Linked DNA regions of Caenorhabditis elegans. The protein of the gene in region 3 purifies or fractionates together with the protein of the main gene of each other region. This does not show direct contact. Each region holds a gene or a part of one and is shown on either strand. Other genes may lie near its edges. The genes, in order: npr-22, cap-2, aipl-1 and hmgs-1.

The links.
Region 1: the proteins of aipl-1 (region 3) and npr-22 fractionate together in Caenorhabditis elegans (co-fractionation; one large-scale study listed by BioGRID). This does not show direct contact.
Region 2: the proteins of aipl-1 (region 3) and cap-2 fractionate together in Caenorhabditis elegans (co-fractionation; one large-scale study listed by BioGRID). This does not show direct contact.
Region 4: the proteins of aipl-1 (region 3) and hmgs-1 fractionate together in Caenorhabditis elegans (co-fractionation; one large-scale study listed by BioGRID). This does not show direct contact.

Annotation. Positions count from the first base shown.
Region 1 is NC_003282.8:8,557,512-8,563,686, reverse strand, and holds npr-22 (Neuropeptide receptor 22), read right to left. Parts: upstream 4,256-6,175; 5' UTR 4,220-4,255; coding exon 4,070-4,219; intron 3,690-4,069; coding exon 3,557-3,689; intron 3,409-3,556; coding exon 2,867-3,408; intron 2,437-2,866; coding exon 2,309-2,436; intron 2,251-2,308; coding exon 2,086-2,250; intron 1,952-2,085; coding exon 1,888-1,951; intron 1,012-1,887; coding exon 889-1,011; coding exon of another isoform or gene 846-888; 3' UTR 526-845; downstream 1-525. Other genes in the region: mpst-6 (thiosulfate sulfurtransferase), read left to right, coding at 1-83. UniProt on the Caenorhabditis elegans protein: Receptor for the LURY-1-1 and LURY-1-2 peptides which control food-related processes including feeding, lifespan, egg-laying and roaming behavior. Receptor for flp-7 which stimulates serotonin-induced fat loss.
Region 2 is NC_003280.10:10,867,598-10,871,348, reverse strand, and holds cap-2 (F-actin-capping protein subunit beta), read right to left. Parts: upstream 2,154-3,751; 5' UTR 2,119-2,153; coding exon 2,116-2,118; intron 2,068-2,115; coding exon 1,950-2,067; intron 1,901-1,949; coding exon 1,807-1,900; intron 1,759-1,806; coding exon 1,645-1,758; intron 1,593-1,644; coding exon 1,442-1,592; intron 1,390-1,441; coding exon 1,285-1,389; intron 1,240-1,284; coding exon 1,114-1,239; intron 1,036-1,113; coding exon 934-1,035; 3' UTR 522-933; downstream 1-521. Other genes in the region: cyn-4 (Peptidyl-prolyl cis-trans isomerase 4), read left to right, coding at 1-265, 315-520; gmps-1 (putative GMP synthase [glutamine-hydrolyzing]), read left to right, coding at 2,958-3,011. UniProt on the Caenorhabditis elegans protein: F-actin-capping proteins bind in a Ca(2+)-independent manner to the fast growing ends of actin filaments (barbed end) thereby blocking the exchange of subunits at these ends.
Region 3 is NC_003283.11:15,133,646-15,138,374, forward strand, and holds aipl-1 (Anaphase-promoting complex subunit 4-like WD40 domain-containing protein), read right to left. Parts: upstream 3,157-4,729; 5' UTR 3,156-3,156; coding exon 3,083-3,155; intron 2,830-3,082; coding exon 2,351-2,829; intron 2,298-2,350; coding exon 1,811-2,297; intron 1,478-1,810; coding exon 821-1,477; intron 777-820; coding exon 670-776; 3' UTR 553-669; downstream 1-552. Other genes in the region: K08F9.1 (Major facilitator superfamily (MFS) profile domain-containing protein), read right to left, coding at 3,628-3,705, 3,817-3,967, 4,011-4,171, 4,221-4,352, 4,574-4,729.
Region 4 is NC_003283.11:5,682,177-5,686,278, forward strand, and holds hmgs-1 (Hydroxymethylglutaryl-CoA synthase), read right to left. Parts: upstream 2,414-4,102; 5' UTR 2,412-2,413; coding exon 2,307-2,411; intron 2,263-2,306; coding exon 2,134-2,262; intron 2,084-2,133; coding exon 1,931-2,083; intron 1,885-1,930; coding exon 1,659-1,884; intron 1,613-1,658; coding exon 1,378-1,612; intron 1,331-1,377; coding exon 1,142-1,330; intron 1,088-1,141; coding exon 876-1,087; intron 827-875; coding exon 687-826; 3' UTR 545-686; downstream 1-544. Other genes in the region: prp-39 (Pre-mRNA-processing factor 39), read right to left, coding at 32-109, 393-454; F25B4.4 (Elongator complex protein 6), read left to right, coding at 2,712-2,881, 2,927-3,047, 3,104-3,364, 3,415-3,519; F25B4.7 (ADP/ATP translocase), read right to left, coding at 3,703-3,822, 3,870-4,102. UniProt on the Caenorhabditis elegans protein: This enzyme condenses acetyl-CoA with acetoacetyl-CoA to form HMG-CoA, which is the substrate for HMG-CoA reductase.

The DNA.
Region 1 (6,175 bases), on a different chromosome or scaffold from region 3:
CCGGAATCGTTGCCAAGCTGTACAATGGAGGAGTCCACGAGTTGGCTTACAAGGCGCCACAACATCTCAACACAAAGGGATAAGTGACAATCATTTCTGATTTATTTCTGCATACAACAAGTCGCTGACGGTGTTTTGTGTTTTTTGGTTTTCATATGCTTTACTTTTGTGAAGTGTATGAGAAAATTGAAGAATAAAGATTGAATGAAAATGCATAAAAATTGTTCACTTTGATTGTTTTCTTGTCTGTTTTCTGGAGTGACTATATACTTTAAATATAAGTGTCTGCCTATCAAGACTGCTTATTTCATTTTTCTTTAATAAAATACTTGCATACAATTCACGGAAAATGCATCCCTTCTAAAAATAGACAAATGCCGAATCTCTGTAAATAAACCTTCACACGTGGAACTACAAGCTTGAAACCGAAATCAATCAAATATTTATCTGAATTGCTCAGTAATTTGCCAGTTTACAAAATTTCAGTCAACTCATTGGATTCTTTTAAATCTGTCAGATGTAAATTTGTAGTATTCTAACATTTATTTCTACATTTAGTTTTGAAAAAATATTCAAATAAAATGAAAACACGCAATTTGTATGGTACAAGTTTAAAATATTGGTGATGATTCGTGGATTTGGTGGGGCGAGTATTTACCGGTATGAAAAGCGTTTCAGACAACAATTGATGTTTCATATAAAATTGTTTCTTAGGAGATCTGAGGGGTTTTTTCTTACAATACAATAAAATGGATGGAATATAAACATAATTTGTGAAATTATGCTTTAAAATACAATTTCAAATAACAAAAACCTTGAATCTATGGTCTTCTATAGCTTTCCACTCAAGTACATGGTAGATCAATTTTCTTAATGATACGGGAAAAGCTACGCGAGAGAATTGGCAGAGTTGTTTCGGACGACGACGAGTGGTCGGGCTTCGAAGAAACGTGCCGAACGACATGTTTGCCTGTCAAGGACTCCACTTCGTGAATATCTCGTAAGCGATGTCTGAAAATATTGAAAATTAGGTTGTGGCTAGGAAGAAAGTCGATGTTGTGGAAATAATCAGATTGGAAAATGTGTACTAGGCAGTGGATATAATTGAGGCGTTTAATTAATAAAAAGGGTTTAGAAGTAAAGCATTTGAATTTAAAAACTGTTTTTAAAGTTTTACTTACAAGTTCTTATGGTTCTAGGTTTCGCTAAACTTCATCGGCAAACACTTTCTCAGTAGTAGGGGTTTTCCCTCTATCATTTGGTGGCAAAATTTAGTTCGCAGTTAATTCGCGACAGGCACATAATGACTCAGTAAACAAGCACAATGATTTCATAGCAATCCTGGCTCAATGTGCTCATTATAGGCAGCTTACGAGTCGCAGTATGCGCAATGTCCGATTTTTTTGACGATGTGTAGATAAATCACTGCTCTAGGATTCTGATGGGTCCATCGCAAATTAACTGCGCTGAACGACCTAGGCTGACTTAGAAGATTTTTAATTTTGCTAATTTAACGTACCGTATTTCCTCTCTTAGTAATGCACCGGACAACTTTACTTTGTAACGTTATATATCGGTTTATTTTGAATATATCATTATATCTTTAACTACGAAATTATAGAAAAAGAACTAAAAAATATTTTGTTAGTTGACAATTTTTAAATGGAACAAATGATAACTGAGATATACACTGTCAAAGTTGAACAATGGTGTGCAATACTAAAAGAGGAAATACGATATACTCATAATTTAAAATGAAATTAACTTAATCAACATATTAGTGCATGTGAAGCAGTGCAAAATAAACTTTAAAATGTAAAAATAAAAAAGCCAAGCCAAACAAAAAGTCAAGAAGGACAAAAAACATGGGTTAGAGAACATCCTTACAGCAGGTTTTTCATCGCTTGAAGTCGGATTTATGACACCAGAAAACCGTGAACGGTTTCGAAAACTGAATGATATTGTTGAGTTATTAAAATTATCAAACTGGTTATCAACAAATAAGGTTGATACATAAATAAACTGAATTGCTCCTAACTCTTGGCTTCAATTCAAAAACAGACAACTTTGTAGAAATTGACATACCTTCTGCTAGTATTATCAGTTAAAAGACGAAGTTCTTTAAATGATATACATGGAAGAAGTTTTGAAGAGAAGAAACAGAATCCTTCACGGAAACGGGCATTTCGAATGAAATAGATAATTGGGTTGACCATTGAATGAGACATGGCAAGTCCATGAGCAAACCACCTCAAAATGCGATTTTTAAAACCAAATTATTGAGTCAGATTAAAAGAATATTTCTTACCACAAATACAGAATATATCCCCAACTGTTGATATCTGGATAGAATTCTGGAATGACGTTGATCAGTATAAGTAAAGGAAGCCAACAAAGTGCGAAGAGTGCCGAAATGAGAATCACCATTGGGACCAGCTAAAAATCTTATTTAATTAACAGGTTTCGTTTCTCACGCGGTAATATTTATTGTATTTGATAAAAATAAGTAAAAACGATATTTCAATCTACTGAACAACTTTATCAAACCGTCATGTAATAGGCAGGTAAAATGTAATAACTTCGAACTTTGATTTAATTTTTTTCAATTTTAAAGTTTCACTTAATAATGATTTGGAAAAGGTTATGTCAAAAACGATTTTTGATTATTATTTTTATGCTACACATGAGAATATTGTTCCTATAAATATAGGGGTCGGTTGACTTTGATTATGGTTATTATTATCATCACCGCACTGAGGAGCCATTGATTGTTGCATTATTTCCATATTCTTATTATTCTAATAAATCAAAACTGGGAGTTTTTGAAAGGTTAGGCTTAAATTTTTAATAATTCCAGAAATCTCACCTTTTTGACACTTTCATGTCGATCAACGATCATTTTCTTTGTTGCTCCATTCTGCATTCCTGGTACTCGACTATTCCACATTTTAATTCCAATATGTGTGTAAGTTATTATTAAAACTGCTTGAGGTACAACATATTGTAGAATTAAGACCATTGAAGAATACACTTTTCTCACTTGTTCTCCAGAATCTCCAAAATACGTCCAATTTTCTCCACAATTCGGTAAACCGTCTTGGTCTTCGAAAAATCTCGTTGTGAAGAGTAACGGCAACGCCATTAGGATACTGAATATCCACGTGGCAGCTACCAGATAAAGAGCTCTTCGTCTTGTAATTCGAATATTTGGAGTTAAAAGGAACATTATAGCCATCCACCGATCAAAACTGATAACGACAAGTGTCCAAGCTGATAAAAATACAGCCATTGCTTGAAGGAATGCTAATAAAGAGCACATCATTGAGCCGAAGAGCCAACGTTGATCATCATAAATCAATACTTGCCAATAGCTGAACGGAATGCAGAATACTGATATGAGAAGATCAGCTGCAATTTTAGTTGTTTTTTTGGGAAATTTGCTCAACATCTTAGATTAATTAATTTTTTAAACTTATCCATTTAGAAGCTCATATAAGTTCTGGAGATTTGAAAAATTATAAAAAGTTTTCAAAAATTCAAAAGTAACAAAACCCACCAACTGCCAAGTTCAATATCAAAATATTAGTCGCCGTTCGAAGTCGTTTAAAATAAACAATAACCAGAATAACGAGCACATTTCCATAGACACAGCATACGCAAAGTATACTATAGAAAAGAATACATAACATCTGTAAAAAATTAGTAATAAATAGGTACAAATATTAAAGGTAATAATGTAGTAATTTTATTCATTTTTTACACTTAAAATGGCCTCTAAAAATTATACCGAATTTTAATAATGATAGCACTTGAAAAATTTTCAAAACTTTTTATTTACGGTTCAAGTTTTGAAGAAAACGCTATCATAAATTAACTAAAATAAAAGTACATGGCACGTTAAAATCAATTTTCAGCAGGTAAAATTGGCTAAAAACATGGCCAAATTGCCTAAATATGAAATGTAAAAAAAACTAATTTTAGTTCCTTTTTTCAAAGTTTCAAAACTCTTGTAAAATTTGGATTTTTAGATATACTTTGAATGTATAAGAATATTTTTTAAAAGTCTCACCTTCATACTTGGTGTCAAATGATAAATATGATTCATTTCTTGAACAGCTGGATTTTCAGTTGTCGTCGGTTCGTTTCGCATCATAATTTCAGAGGCTGTCGTCGTGATTCTGGAGAGCAAACTGCTTCCAATACCCCCTCCTTCGTCCATATTTGCTCACGAATTAGATGACGAATCGTTCGATCTGAAATTTAAAACAATTTATTCGGAAAGAGTTTGGGGAAGTGTTCCAAATAAGGAAGACCACTTGTTCATAGAAAACCGAAAATTAAAAACAAAGAAAAAGAGAACATATTTCGGAGAAATAAATGAATATGAAGAAACCAAGAATGTATTTTCTCGCACATTTTTTAGATCAGAAATGTTGAAAGAGAAACCTTCAAATTTATGAGAATGTAGGAGAAGGATAATATTAAGAAAGTGTATCAAATTTTGTTGTTTGAAATTGATTAAAAAGTAAATTTCTATAAAGTGAAAAATTATATAAACGAAGAAGGTCAATTAGCAGTTGGAAAAATAAGGCAAAGATCAAACAAGATTTTTTTGTGATTCTTGGGTTTTCGGAAGCAAAGTATGAGAGAATTAGAGGAACATAGGATGCTCGCAATGATATTTGGATGTTTGTTGACCTCGAAAAATGACTATAGTCTTTGCGGTTTTGTAGAAAAAAAAATATAATGTTTCCGAATCCAGAAAATTTGTTAAAAGTGTGGTATATTCGAAAAATAATTCTTTTGGGAAAGTCCAGTGGGAATTAAAAAAATATATGGCAAAAGTATAGGGAAGGGAAAAACTTGAAGAACTATCCTATTTTTCGCACAAGGATGATTGGGGAATGATTACAAAATGCAGAAGTGATAGTTTTTGATTAATAAATAGGTACATTGTAACCGAAAAATCCAGAAGGTAGGCTGCTAATATCTGTTTTCGAAATCAAAATTAATAAGATGATTTCATCTGAAAATGTGGCAAACTTTCTTGAAATCTGCCATGTTTAAATAGTGATATAGTGATAGTAGTATCTAGTGATCTGTAGTGGTCCCATTTTGACACATGATCCATCAATTTCAATGAGAAAGGTCAAATCAGCCAGACATGTGTTGTATTAGTTTACAAATGAACTTTGCAAGATAACAGGAATTTATGGAAGAAAAATGTTGGAAAAATGCGTGTCTACCGAAGTTTTAGACATGAGTAATATGATCATACGATAGAGTACAAGTACAATATGAATACTTGAATAAAGTACAAACTTTTATTGCAGGGTTAGAGCACGTGCTAAAACTTGAGAAACTTGAACAAAATCAAGTAAAAGAAAATTGTTACAGATTCTTTAAACCGAAGTTTTCCAATTGTATTGTGCTAATTGTATGTTCCAATAAAGAAACTCTAGCTAACTGTTAATTATAAAAATTTAAGATTTTGGATACGCGATTGGTTTCTAGAATTTAATCGAATGAAAGATTACCGTCGTTTTATCGTATTCTTCAACACTATATCTCAATAATTTTAGCTGAATTTAATTCTTATTTGTCTATTTTTTTGTAGAAAAAACTATTGACCAGATAGGACAAAAAAAAACTGAAATTTATTAAAATATGTCTAAAATATGTTTCAATGATGTTATAATCAGGAAATGATAAGGTAGACCTCAGTACATATGACACCTTTCACGTTATTAGCAAGAATGTACATAGATATCTCAAGATTCAGATAGATTACGTCATCACGGCATGAAAATGTCTCAAATGTACATCTCAATTAGCATAAAAATAATTTCTAGAATTTCTGAAAGAAAAAGGAGAAGTATATAAAAATAGGAATAAGAACACCACATCCTTGCAAAATGAATAATAAATAATAAATAATTAATATTGAGTCAACAGAAATGTGTCTGGATGTAGTGCGATGTTGTGAAAAAAACAAGATAAAGTTGACTGAAAATAAGAAAACATTCATGTCAAGTAAGCTTCAAAACTTTGGAAAAGTCTTCGCTTTTTGGAAGTCGTCTATGGCAAAAAGTGGCAAAAACTCAGTAATTGCCACTTTTAAACTGTCAATAAAAATTTTCACACTTTTTATTTTGAAAAGTTGTATTTGAACATT
Region 2 (3,751 bases), on a different chromosome or scaffold from region 3:
ATGGCTAATAAGGGCTCTAACACCAACGGATCACAATTCTTCATTACATTCCGGCCGTGCAAGTATTTGGACAGAAAGCACACAATTTTTGGGAGACTTGTTGGAGGACAGGATACACTAACGACGATTGAAAAGTTGGAAACTGAAGAGGGAACTGATGTTCCGATGGTTTCAGTTGTTATTATGAGAGCTGAAGTATTTGTGGATCCATTTGAAGAAGCTGAGAAAGAAGTTCAAGCTGAGAGAGCAGAGATTTTGAAGAAAAGTTTCTTAATTCTATTACTAATTTTAAAACTAATGATATCTATTTTCAGCTTCTAAGGACGCAGCTTCATTAGCAAATAAAAAAGCTAAAGAAACTGCAACAAAACCAGAAGCAGTTGGAACTGGAGTCGGCAAGTACATGAAGTCGGCCGCAGCTGTGAATAAACGACAAGGAAAAATGGAAGATGTACCCTTGGAGGCCGCAAAGAAAACTAAATTTGCAAGAGCAGGCCTTGGAGATTTCTCAAAGTGGTGATGAAGACCCTCTCTTTTTTTTTAAATTTAAGGAATAAAATACTTTCATCGAAAATATAATTGAAATGAAAAGTAATCTTAAAGAGGATAATTTACATTGCAAAATACAAAACAGTCGAACGAGCACCTAGAACGAAAATGGTCCAGGAAAAGCTCAAGCTCTTCTCGGAAGGAACATCAAGGCATTTTGGTAATAAATTGTGGAAAAGCCATAGCACATACACTTTGGAGCGAGGAGAAATTGTGGGAAAAGAGATTTTAATAATTCTAGAAAAAAAGTTTACACTCGAGAAAAGGCAATGAAAAAAGGTTTTAAAAGAAGAAACAAGCTGGTATTATGGTAGATAAATATACAAAACTCGCAAATAAAGCATTAAAATGAGAGATTTTGAGCTGCAAATGTAGATAGATCACTCAGTTTCCGCGGTTAGCCATGGCGTTGTTCAACTCGCGAACGATCTCATCTTGCTTCTCGAGCTCACTCTGCTTCTCTGTTGAACGGAGATCCGACATCACCTGGAAAATATTTTTTTCGAAAATTGTACTTTTTAAAAATGAAACTTTTTTCATATAATAAATTTGCATTTTGCTTACCTTCTTCGTCTTTCCAAAGTATATCTCATTGATCGTCAGACGCATTTTCGACTCCTGATCCTCAATCATTCGTCCCATATTAGCCAAGTGTGTGTTCTGATCGTTGATTGGTGCATCCATCTCATGCTATAATATTTCTTTTTAAATATATTCACAACTCGAAACCAAAACCTGTCTTGTAAGGGAGCCACCGAGGTTCATCACACCGCTGGAGCTTTTGTTTGTCTGCAGCCACAGCATGATAGTGGAGGTGAGCTTGTAGTGAGCCTGGCGTGCCTGGAAAATTATAAATTAAAAAAAAAAACTCTTCAACAGTTTTTGAACCAACTCTTTCCGTGATCTCAATAACGTGAATAGAATCCCAACATCCTGTTATATTTTTGGCTCCGTCTCCCTCTTTCTTGATGAGCACAATTCCGGCGAAACCTCCATTATCCAAGTCCCAGAAGTAAACTGATGAGACGCCTCCCTCGAAGTATCTGGAAATTATTATTATTTATGAGCAAATATATGATTTTTCTGTCAACTTACAAATCACGGTATGACTCAAAAGCGGCATTTGCCTCGATTTCCATTTTTCTGCGCTTTTCCGATGGCAATTGTCCATCCTCGAGTGGTGGATCATAGGTATTACTCCATGGTGATCTGAATTATCAGAAAAAATCGATAGATTTCAAATAAAATGACTCATACCTGTAGCTATCGCCATCTCGATTGTAGTCACAAAGCAAATACTGTTTGCCGGTCTCACGGTCCGCGGCGATTTTCAGCGGTTGATCGATAGTGCCTAAAACCATCAAGCGAATTTTTTTAAATTAGTTAAAAAGGAAACATACTGAGAAGATCATCAACAAGATGAGGGCACAGATCGATGAGGTCCGTCAAATTCTTGTCGCAGTGTTGTGGAGGAAGTCTTCGCATCAAGTCGAGGGCACAATCGAGCTGTTGTTCTCCCTGGTAAATATTTATTATAAATTGTTTTTAAAATATTTATTAAAATACCATTTTTGATAGTTTCGAGCCGGATGTGGGTGTGCTCCCTGAAACAATAAACTTTTATGTCAGATTTTAAGTCGTTACAACCTATTAAAAACATAAAAAGACTCTAAACGATTGGGTAATGATTTTTTAGTTCACAAATAAGATTAAATTTCGCAAAAATATATTTTAAAAGCCATTAGAAAGCAGGAAAGTTGCGAAACGGAGCGACCACTTCATTGATTTTACACTCCGTTTCTCTCACTCTCTCGTCCCTCCACCGTACCCATAGTCACTCTCGTCGGCAAATCGCGGCGAGACCCGCGAGCTTTTGGCGTTTCGCCAGAGTTCTTCAAATTTTTGTTTTTTTCTTCGAGCTTTTAAATTTAAGTTTTTTCCGTCAATTTTTATGTTAATAAACCGAAAAAATTAATTTTAAATTAATTGACATGAAATTTTCATCGCAAGTTTATCCGTGTTCTGTACATTCTCATCGCTTCATCTCCGAGAAAACACCGAATCCACTAAATTTTGTTATTTCAGTAATTGCAGCCAAAACGAGTCAAAATTGGAGCGCGTCAGAGTAAACGTCACTGCCGCAACCTTCCATCTGAAGTGAGTATTTAAATGTGAAAATTTTGAAAAACTGGGTGAAAATTCGCGCACATTTCTGTAAATTGGCTCCCGATTTGGTTTTCAACGTTAAAAAACGAAAAAAAGCATTTTCAACGTTTAAACGTGCGTTTTAAGGAGGTTTTCATTATAAATTGCCAAAAAATTCCACTTTCCATTGACTTCAAATCATTATAACCTAGCTTCAGCGTGCAAAAAGAACAAAGGCCGTCTCGAAAGTCAGTGAGCATACTATGAAAAGATCGAGTTCAATGTTGGACATCAACGAGGACAGTCAACATTCCACGGTCAGAACTTGTACTTTTCTTTTGATCTTGCCGCTTTGCTAATGGATTTCTTTTTTGAATTTTCGTTGAATTTAATTATTTTATCGCTGCAAAGGGCTTTTACAATTTTCCCTGAAATCGTCACTATAAAAGAAAAGAAATAATTGCAATTTTATTGCATTCTCCGCAACTACATTCTGTTTTTTCCGACTCCAAATAGTTCAAAGTTCTCTAGAATCACAATATCTTCCTCTGAAGACAAAAGATCAGTTGTCACTAAAGCCACATGCCGACTTTTCTGTTCAAGGGGGGTTCCACCATATGTTTCGGCGCTCAAATTACATGTTTTTTCGCGAAAAAAAGCTAATTTTCCTGTAACCTGAAGGGTTTTCTTTTTAAATAAATAAAAATGTTCACGTTAATCCAGTGATATATCGAAACTAGGTGACCTAATTGACGTGGAGTTCAGATTATACCGGCTTTTCTAGAACTTTCTATCTGATTTTCAGGATTACTGCGCCGTTTCTTGATAGTTTTCGTCTAAAAACCGAGTATATTTTAATATTTGTTGGCAGTTTTTGTCTTATTTATCACAATTTTCAGTGAGAATTCCTTGGTTTTTCTCATGGGATAAGCGTTTTTCACTGGAAAATATATTTTCTTGGTAGAAAATTCTCCTCGACGAAATCGTAGTTATATTCTCCCAGCCGAACACTAAAATGCTGGAAAACTAGGAAACTAGGGTCTAGTTGAAAAATTTT
Region 3 (4,729 bases):
ATGAAAAGTTGCCAGAAAAGTGAAAAATATTCCAATTAGGAATCCAGTGAAGAAATATGGAATGTGGCGAGCTCGGAAGTTGATTTTCATCAACTTATTGCGATCATCTTCGATGTTGCTGTTATTATCTCGAAAATTTCCGTTCAAAATAGCTGGAATATCATCTCTTGAATATATTCCAAAAGTGATAACAGTCGTTCGATTCATTTTTTGAAAAAGGTAAAGTGGTCATCAATTTCGAGAAGGTTATTTTTTATATATTCACTCACATTTCTCATTTCAAATGAGTCATCTTTCACTTTCTGGGTGGATAATGTCTCAACTTAAACTATCTTATCACCGTGGGAAAACTCTTATCAATTGGTCGTATCAGATTGGTCTCCACATGTAGAACAATGTATTTGGGAAACAGTTCTCATACTAATTGATATGAACGTAGTTTGCACGGATTGATACTGTTGTTAAAACTATTAATTATACTGTTTTTATGACTAATTGTAAGTTCTATAGATTCCCTTATTTTATTTTAAATTTTTTTTTTGTTCCAAAAGCCTTCATTGAAATTTCATTCGAATTGTAAATAAAAATTGTTAAATCACGTGCATCTTTTGGCAGAAAAATAGGTAATCAAAAATAAATTATGCAATTTTAAACATATAAACATGAAAACTAGAGTGGAACATTCCAAAATTTGATGTTCGAGTCTTGTCCAGCAGACACCACCGTAGTCTCATCGAGCCAGCGGACCACATTCACAGATGACATTGGATGGGCTCCTGAAAACGTTATTCATATACTAGCAAGACAATTTCAATATTACCTTTAATAATAACCGGATGTTCGCCTGGCTTCTTCATGTCCCAGATAATGACACTGGTGTCGATGGAGCCAGTGGCAAGACGTTGATTGTCAGGGGACCATGCGACTGTCAGTACTTTCGAAGTATGGAAAGTCCACGAGTTTGGAGAGGTGACGGAAAAATCCGTGGAGACAGAGTAGGGAATCACCTTTCGAGCCAAATCAGTGACCGCTAGATATTCCCCATCGTCGGAAAATGAGACAGCGGTGATTTCCGCACTGTGCTCAATCTTCTTCAACTCCTCGAGCCGTCCATCTCCATTCAGTTTGTACACATGAACCTTCGCATCTTTTCCACCAACGGCCACCAGACTTTTCTCCGCACAAAACGCCACACAAGTCGAATGGAATTCAATTGGATTTTCCGTTGGCGTTCCCCGTGACAGAACGACGACGTGCTTGTAACATGCAACAATTGCCAAGTCATCAGAAACTTCTAGTCCACATGGTTGAGACGGCAATTTGAAGCTTTTCGTGTCTCCGGATCCATCAGTAATCTTCAATTGATCATCCCAACCAACAGTGAATAAGTCGCCATTGGAAGACGTCTGGGCACCAGTAATCATTGTGGTATGTGGAGATTTTCGAGAAGAAGTTCCGCTTGAAATTTCCCAGGTAGCTGAAATAAAGAAAAACTTGTTATTCATTAAGGTGTGTATTTTGCTCGTATAGACCCAAAATGTGCTCGAATTGAAAAAAAAAGCTAATTTCAGCAAAAATCATCAATTTGTCCAACATTTTCGTGTCGCAGCTGTCGGAAATTAGCTTTCATTTAATTACAATATTTTCATGCATATTTTGGTAGTTTATGCAAGAAAGGATATTTCGATAAAATCTAATTCAGACCGCTATAGCACGGAAAGGTAGGGAAAATTGACTATTTCAGCTAAAATTGGCACGTTAATTTTAGCATATTGTGAAACCTCGGTCAAGTAATCCCAACTTCACTCACTAATATGGCCTTCCGCATCGGCACTGAACAAGAATTTCCCATCAGAGCTCTTCGAAAGAGCTGTAATCGCTTTATTATGTCCCTGACGAATTTTTTCGACGCTTCCATCGTCTGGATTCAAGAAATTCAGGAATCCACTGACAGATACCGTGATCAGCGCACTCTTTGTCCAGACAATTCCAAGCTGTTGATCCTCGATCTTCGATCCCATCACAATAGTTCTCTCCAGCTTTCTTGCAGAAACATCCCAGATTTTCACAGACTTGTCAGCTGAAGCTGTAGCAATTCTTGATTGATCCGGAGACCAGGCTAAAGCAAATATGCTTCCTGTGTGGGCGACTCCCTTGGCATCTTCGAGAACTCCGACTTTTTCTCCGTCAACTCCATTGTACAAAACGACAGTTCCATCGCTTCCCGTTGAGGCAAAGAGCGAGCCATCATTGTTGTATCTGGTAGACTGAACGAACTTTTTGTGGTGGTCAAAAGTCTGAAAAAAAGGATTTAAATATAGTTTACTAATTCAGGCGATATAATACTAACATGCTTGAACTTGAATGGAGGGCCTTCGAAGATAGCAACGGTATTATCATCTGATCCAGAAATGATACGAAACGGGCGCGTTGGCTTAAAATCCACACTGTTCATGGTCCGACTTTGTCCTGTCAAACTTCCGTTTGATGTTGTAGTATCAAGAAGGAATACGTGCCCGAATCGTTCCTTTCCTTCGCCGACCGCCGCAATTCTTTTGCTCTCACTGTCCCATGCGATGTCTTTTACTGGTCCAGAGAAAACTGGGATGGTATGTTTAAGAATGTGAGTTGATTGAGTAGTATCCCAGATCCGAATATTTCCCTGAGTATCGCCAGAAGCACAATAGAAGCCTGTCGGAGATATTTTGGCGACTGTTGTCTGGTGAGCATGCTCTGTGTAGATATCGGCAGAGTTGAGGCTGTCGATGGGAATTGTGAAGACCGAATTCCCATTGCAATAAAGGATTTTATCGCCGGCTGGAGAGCTACCTGAAAATGAGACAATTATTTCGTTTTCCCGCGTAGGGGTGGCGATAGGGTGCCTTGTTGCGACCTAACGCCACCCCTACTAGCGACCTTAATGTATCAAGTTTCGACCTCGAAAGAAAATTCGAGTAAGTAAACCATGCTAATTTAATTTTCATCTTCAAAATTCTGATTGGATTGTTCGTGAAGGTGCTGTGAAATAGCCAGGGCGCCCTGTTGCGACCTATCGCCACCCCTATTCCCGCGTCTTACTCACCCAGAATAACAGGAACTCCTCTGGCAGCCCGTGGCAATGATGGAAATACGGCGGTTTGCGAGAATTCCGACATTCTGAGAAATTAGTAATGAATTAAAATTCGGATTTTTAAATAAAATTAAACAATTGTCGCGTGAAATCGAAAAAAAATGGGAAAATTAATGGAAAAAAGATTGAAAATATTTCATTAGCGCCCGTTTCTCTGTCGTCTCGAATCTCTCTCGCGTAGCAACAGAGCGTGTTTGAATGTAGTCACCACTGGTGTGAATTTTTAGTAGAAAGGAACTTTCGGCAAAAAGTATATGAACATTAATTTTCCACAATTAAGAATGTTATCATCACAAAAGATTGAGAAAAATATCATATTTGAAGCCGTTAAAACAAAAAAAAAGTAACAATGTTAAATATTGAATATGAGGAATGACCACGAGGATCGCGAGTTTAAAGACCAAACGCAAAACTGTTGAAAAACAATCATGATTCATATTTTATGTTAAGGCAGAAGATCATCGATGAAATAGGAAATTATAAATACCATGAAACTATTAAATAGGTTTGATTGAATTCGAACGAGTTGATCGGCATAATGGCAACTTTGGTAATTCCTCAATGGCTTCTTCCACCTGGAAATTTGAAATTTTTATACTTAATTAAAAATAATTAAAAAATGGGTTTCAGCGCGATCTTTGCAAGACCCTTGTTTCTTTAAAATTATACGTCACGTTCTTAATCACCTCAATTGGACTTTTATTCTTGGTCTCTGGAAGTGAAAAATACAGGAAAACCAGAGATACTGCCACCGGAGCAACAAAAAGAATCAAATAGGACCAGGCTTCTCCGAGTTGATTTTTCATGGGCAGGAATGCAGTGATAATTGAAAATTGTCTGAAAGCTTTTGTTTGAAGATTTAATGTCACCACCGACTCACGAGATCATTTGTACCACGCTTGCCCAACTTTGTGCTGCACTTCGAGCATCTTGACCAACAAGTTCTGCATTGATAAAATAACTTAATGGACCCGGGCCTAGAGCGAAGAAAAATTGAAAAATGCAGATAAAGAAAATGAGAATGAAGCCGAGAACTTGGTTCTGAGATTTGGTAGGATTTAGAGGGTAATGGTATAATTATATTTCATACCCCAAACTTATCAAAAGTGAACATTAATCCGAATATTATCAAGTTGCAAATCAGAATTCCTGCAAGTGAAATGAGAAGTAGTGGGCGTCGTCCGTTTTTATCAATTATTGCAATGGCAAGTACTGATGAGATCTATGAAATATTAAAAATTATTTTTTTTTGTACAGAAGTTTTATTAGAACGGTTAAATTCATTGTGAGCAAAAAAAATCTAACTTACCATGTTTATCATATTTTCTTTATTAGACTTATACCCAACTGCTCTACTTTGACGGCTTATAACTCTTTAAATTAACTACCTTTTTTCTGCCTATCTGCCTGCCTATTTTGTGCCTACTCGGGTCTGTTACTTACCACACTAACAATCGTGGTTGCGTCATTTGCCAGTGATGCTTGCAAAACGTTCAAACCAGTATTTACTAGAATCTCAAAAGCAAAAGCACTGATAACTGCAACTCCACTGAAAGACATTACAAACGTCACAACAGCACCGACGAAAGCTTTATCGCG
Region 4 (4,102 bases), 9.5 Mb from region 3:
CATGCAATCCAAAACTAAGAACACATCGTACCTTCTCCTTCGTCGATCTCGATCTCGATCCGAGTCCCGATGCCGATCGTCGCGACGGCGGTGTGAATCTTCTCTTTTTCTGAAATTCTAATTTTGGATGGTTTACTTCTGAGGGGCCGATGGTGCCATCAGGATTTTTTACTAGGCATGTTTCATGTGAAAAAATTCAGGAACGGTGAGATATGAATTTTAAGCGGCGAAATTTCAGAACCGAGCTTGCGGTGAGTTTTTGAAGATGCTCAGAGCAGTGGTTTCGTGGGGCTCACGAAGCTTCCCACAAGCTGTTCTGGAATTTATATTTAACCGCTTCACATCATGGTCCTCCAAATGAAACATGTTTCGTTCAAAAGTCCGGTGCATACCTGCTGCTGCTGGAGCGGTAGTAGTCGTCTGTGTCCGAGCTTGACGACCGATCTCTTCCCATCTTAACTTTGAAATTAAATTGAGCCGTTCGAGAAATGGAAAATATTGTCGTGACAATAGTACACGTGTTCAACAAAATCAATTATCAGAAAAAAACAACTCGTTTTAATTTAAAAAAAAGAAAAGAAAATACAACTCTAATGAGCGAATAAAAAACAGTAACAAAGAAGTAGACTATGGCAAACGATGTGATAAAATTAAAAACTAAAAAAAAAAAAACAAAAGATACATTTTTAATGATGAATTCCGTTCCCGTTTTGAACACCGTTTGGTTCCTCGTGTAAAGTATATGATCGGCGATAAAGCTTGTCCATGTTATCAAGGAAATAAGTGTTGGGAAACAATGAAGTTTCGGATGGAGATTTTGGAATCTCTGAAAAACAAAATGACATTAAAAACCAATCACTATTAGAATTACTCACCTTTTGATCGTAGGAAAACTTCTCTTTTTTGTAATGTTTCTGTAAACTCTTCTGGAGTAAACTGAATTCGGTCATCGAGCCTTTTAATCGCCCTTATTGCGACTTGACGAATTTTATCAAGATTAGATGTCTGCCTAACTCTTCCTGGGAAAATTGCTGACGCTAGACCACTTCCATAGGCGAAGAATAAAATGCTTTTCTCCCCGGTGACGCTGAAAAGTAATTTTAAAAATTAGCTCTAAAAATCGGTATATTCTTCATCATACCAATCATCTGCTGCCAAGTATGCTAAAAGTTGAGCAAAGAGTGATGGAGTATACATATTTCCGATTCGCCTGTTGAAAACAAGATATGGATCTGTTTTTTCCTTCCAAACTTGAGCAGACAATTCGATCATTTTTGCAAGTCCAGCGCGATCGTTTTCATCGAGTTTATGATCGACACCATTTCCATTTCTGAATAAAATAAACATTTGAAAATTTTTCTAAACTAATCAACCTACAATTGCTTGTGACGAAGTTGCGAGTCAGTATAGTTCATCACAGCCAGGCCTTTTTGAACCATTTTCGTGAACGGTGAGTGAAGAAACACTCCGTCAAATGAGTTCAGCCCGTCGATACCCGTTGTATGGCGATTAACTTTTGATATGAAATATGTGTATGTCATTCTGACTGCTTCCAAATATGAGCTCAATGATAATGATCCATCGACAACGGGGTATTCACTCGGAATCGGCGCTGGAATTTAATTTTTTAAAAGTAAATAGAGAAATTAATAGCTTACTAATTGGCTTAAAGAAATCCCACGTGTTTTTCATGTGACACGCTGAAAACTGCCGATCAATCGGAATAGAAGCATCTGGACAAATAAGAAAAGCAATCGCTCCTGCACCGCCTGTACATCTCGCTGGACCTTCTTCATATATTGCAATATCCGCGACTACTACAATTGCGTTTTTCTTATCAAGCGGATGATTCACTGTGACCCAATCGATAGCGTGCAGCAGTGCCTGAAAATATAATTGAAGATTCTATTTTGAGAGACAAAAAACTCACTTGTGCGCCTCCAAAGCAGGCATTTTTGATGTCGACTCCTTCAATATCCGAATTTCCAGGAAATAAGTCCATTAAAGCTGTCTTCACACTTTTGCTCTTGTCGATCATTGTTTCGGTACCTACAACCAAACAGCCAATCGAATCAGTCGAGATCTAAACACACTGAAACTGAGGAAACTAAGTACTTTGATAGCGAATATTACTTTGTAAGTTTCAATAAGTTTCCTTGTGACTGTAAGGGAGATGGATACGATGTCCTCGTTGTCCGAGCAGAATCCCATTTGCTGTTGCCCCAGTCCAATTGTGTATTTTCCGCTGGATACATTGTTAAACTGCAATTTAGGAATCAATATTGAAGAAATAATGGTATTAATACCTTTTCTAAATCATTTTGATCGACAAAGTTCTGGGGAAAATACAACTCAATTGCTCCAATTCCAACATCCGTCACTGGTGTATATGACAATTGACCCAAGCTCATGCCTGCAATAAACTCTTTTTTAAATGTGAATTGCAAAAAATCACAAAAAACGATGATTTATCGACGAAAAGTGTTCATTATGCAAATTTGCCAAAAAAACAGTTTTGAAATATCAAAATGCCCGTAAATGTCGTCGAGGCAACGGCTCTTCCCTGCGAGACCCAAGGGAGGGGAAACCGATTTACGAGTCATTTGTACTCCTCTCGGACAAACTAAAATTGTATCATTTTCATTTTTCTGCAAAACTTCGTTTTCTTCATTTGATTTCATACAAAAAAACATTTTTCAGAAAAAGAAAAAATGCTGAAAATTCTAAAAGGACAAGAAGAGTCAATTAAGGGCTTGATTGTATGTGAAGAAGTGGATAACGCGTCGTCACTCCCATTTGTTCTTCATTTCCTTTCTACAGCTTCGACTTCAAGTCAAAAAGTCGCTATTGTTTCGACCAAATTGTCTGAAACAAATTACAAGTGAGTAAATCTTTATAAAATGGAAAGTAAAACTAATTGTTATAGACTGATTTGTTCGAAGGCTGGAGTTCGATGGAATCCCACTCAAATTAGTTTCTACGATTTCTTGAAACCATTCGAATTATTTGATATCACCTCTGAACAAATTATGGACGAGTTGTACAAGGTATTTCAGCATATATCTTTTTTCGAATAAAAATTGTTTAACTCAAAATTTTTCAGAAATTAATTGATTCCTCTGCGTCAGTTATTCTCTTCGATGATCTTTCAATATTGGAGCAATTTGGAGCAACTTCAGTTGAAACTACCATTTTCGTGCACAAAATCTACACACATTTAAAGACGTTATCACAAGAAAATGCGCTTCTTCTCGCTTCTTTCTCTATCCATTCGAATGCTGTGGATATTCTGAAACCCCGCTGCCACGTATTTGTCCAGATGTCGCCAGTAAGCCATGGTTTTGGAAAAGATGCATCAGCAAAGGTTCGTGAAATCTGCAATATTGTCGTTCATTAGTTATTGTTGAAATTCAGGCGGTGCTCACTATCAAATCACCATCTGCTCCAACATCAACGAAAGGAATTCTTCTTTCCGGTGAACGCACAATCAATGGATCATATATAACTGTGGATCAGTGATCTTGTTTTGTTACTGAATAAAAAAAATGATTCAAAAAAAGCTTTTCTTCGTTATCATAACAGAAAACAATGGGCACAGGCTTCAACATACAAATTTACACGTATTTCTAAAAGAGCCTGATTTTCGAACAAATAAGAGAATGCACTAGAAATTTTAAAGATTATCTATATTATGGAAGGTTGTCACATGTACTTCTGAAGTTCATTGTAAATCGCCAGAACCAATGCTGCACCAGTTCCACGAATCGCGTTCACCAGGGCTCCATGGAAAAATGCCTTGGGTCCTTCCTTCGTGTAAATGTACTGAAAATAAATAAATCTTTGTCCGAGAAGCAATTAAATGATCTTACTTTGATGCAGGATATTGTGTTATTGAACGGTAACGTCTTCTTTCCAGCACCCATCATCAGTCGTCTTCTTACAGTATCCAGTGGATAAGATGTCATTGCAGCGATCAGAGTGACGACTTGTCCAACAAGAAATGCTTCAGTAAATGTCATCTTTCCGTCACTATTCATATATGGAGCCGTTGTATCGAACAGACCATAATATGCTCCTCGATAGATAATCATGTATTGAAGCG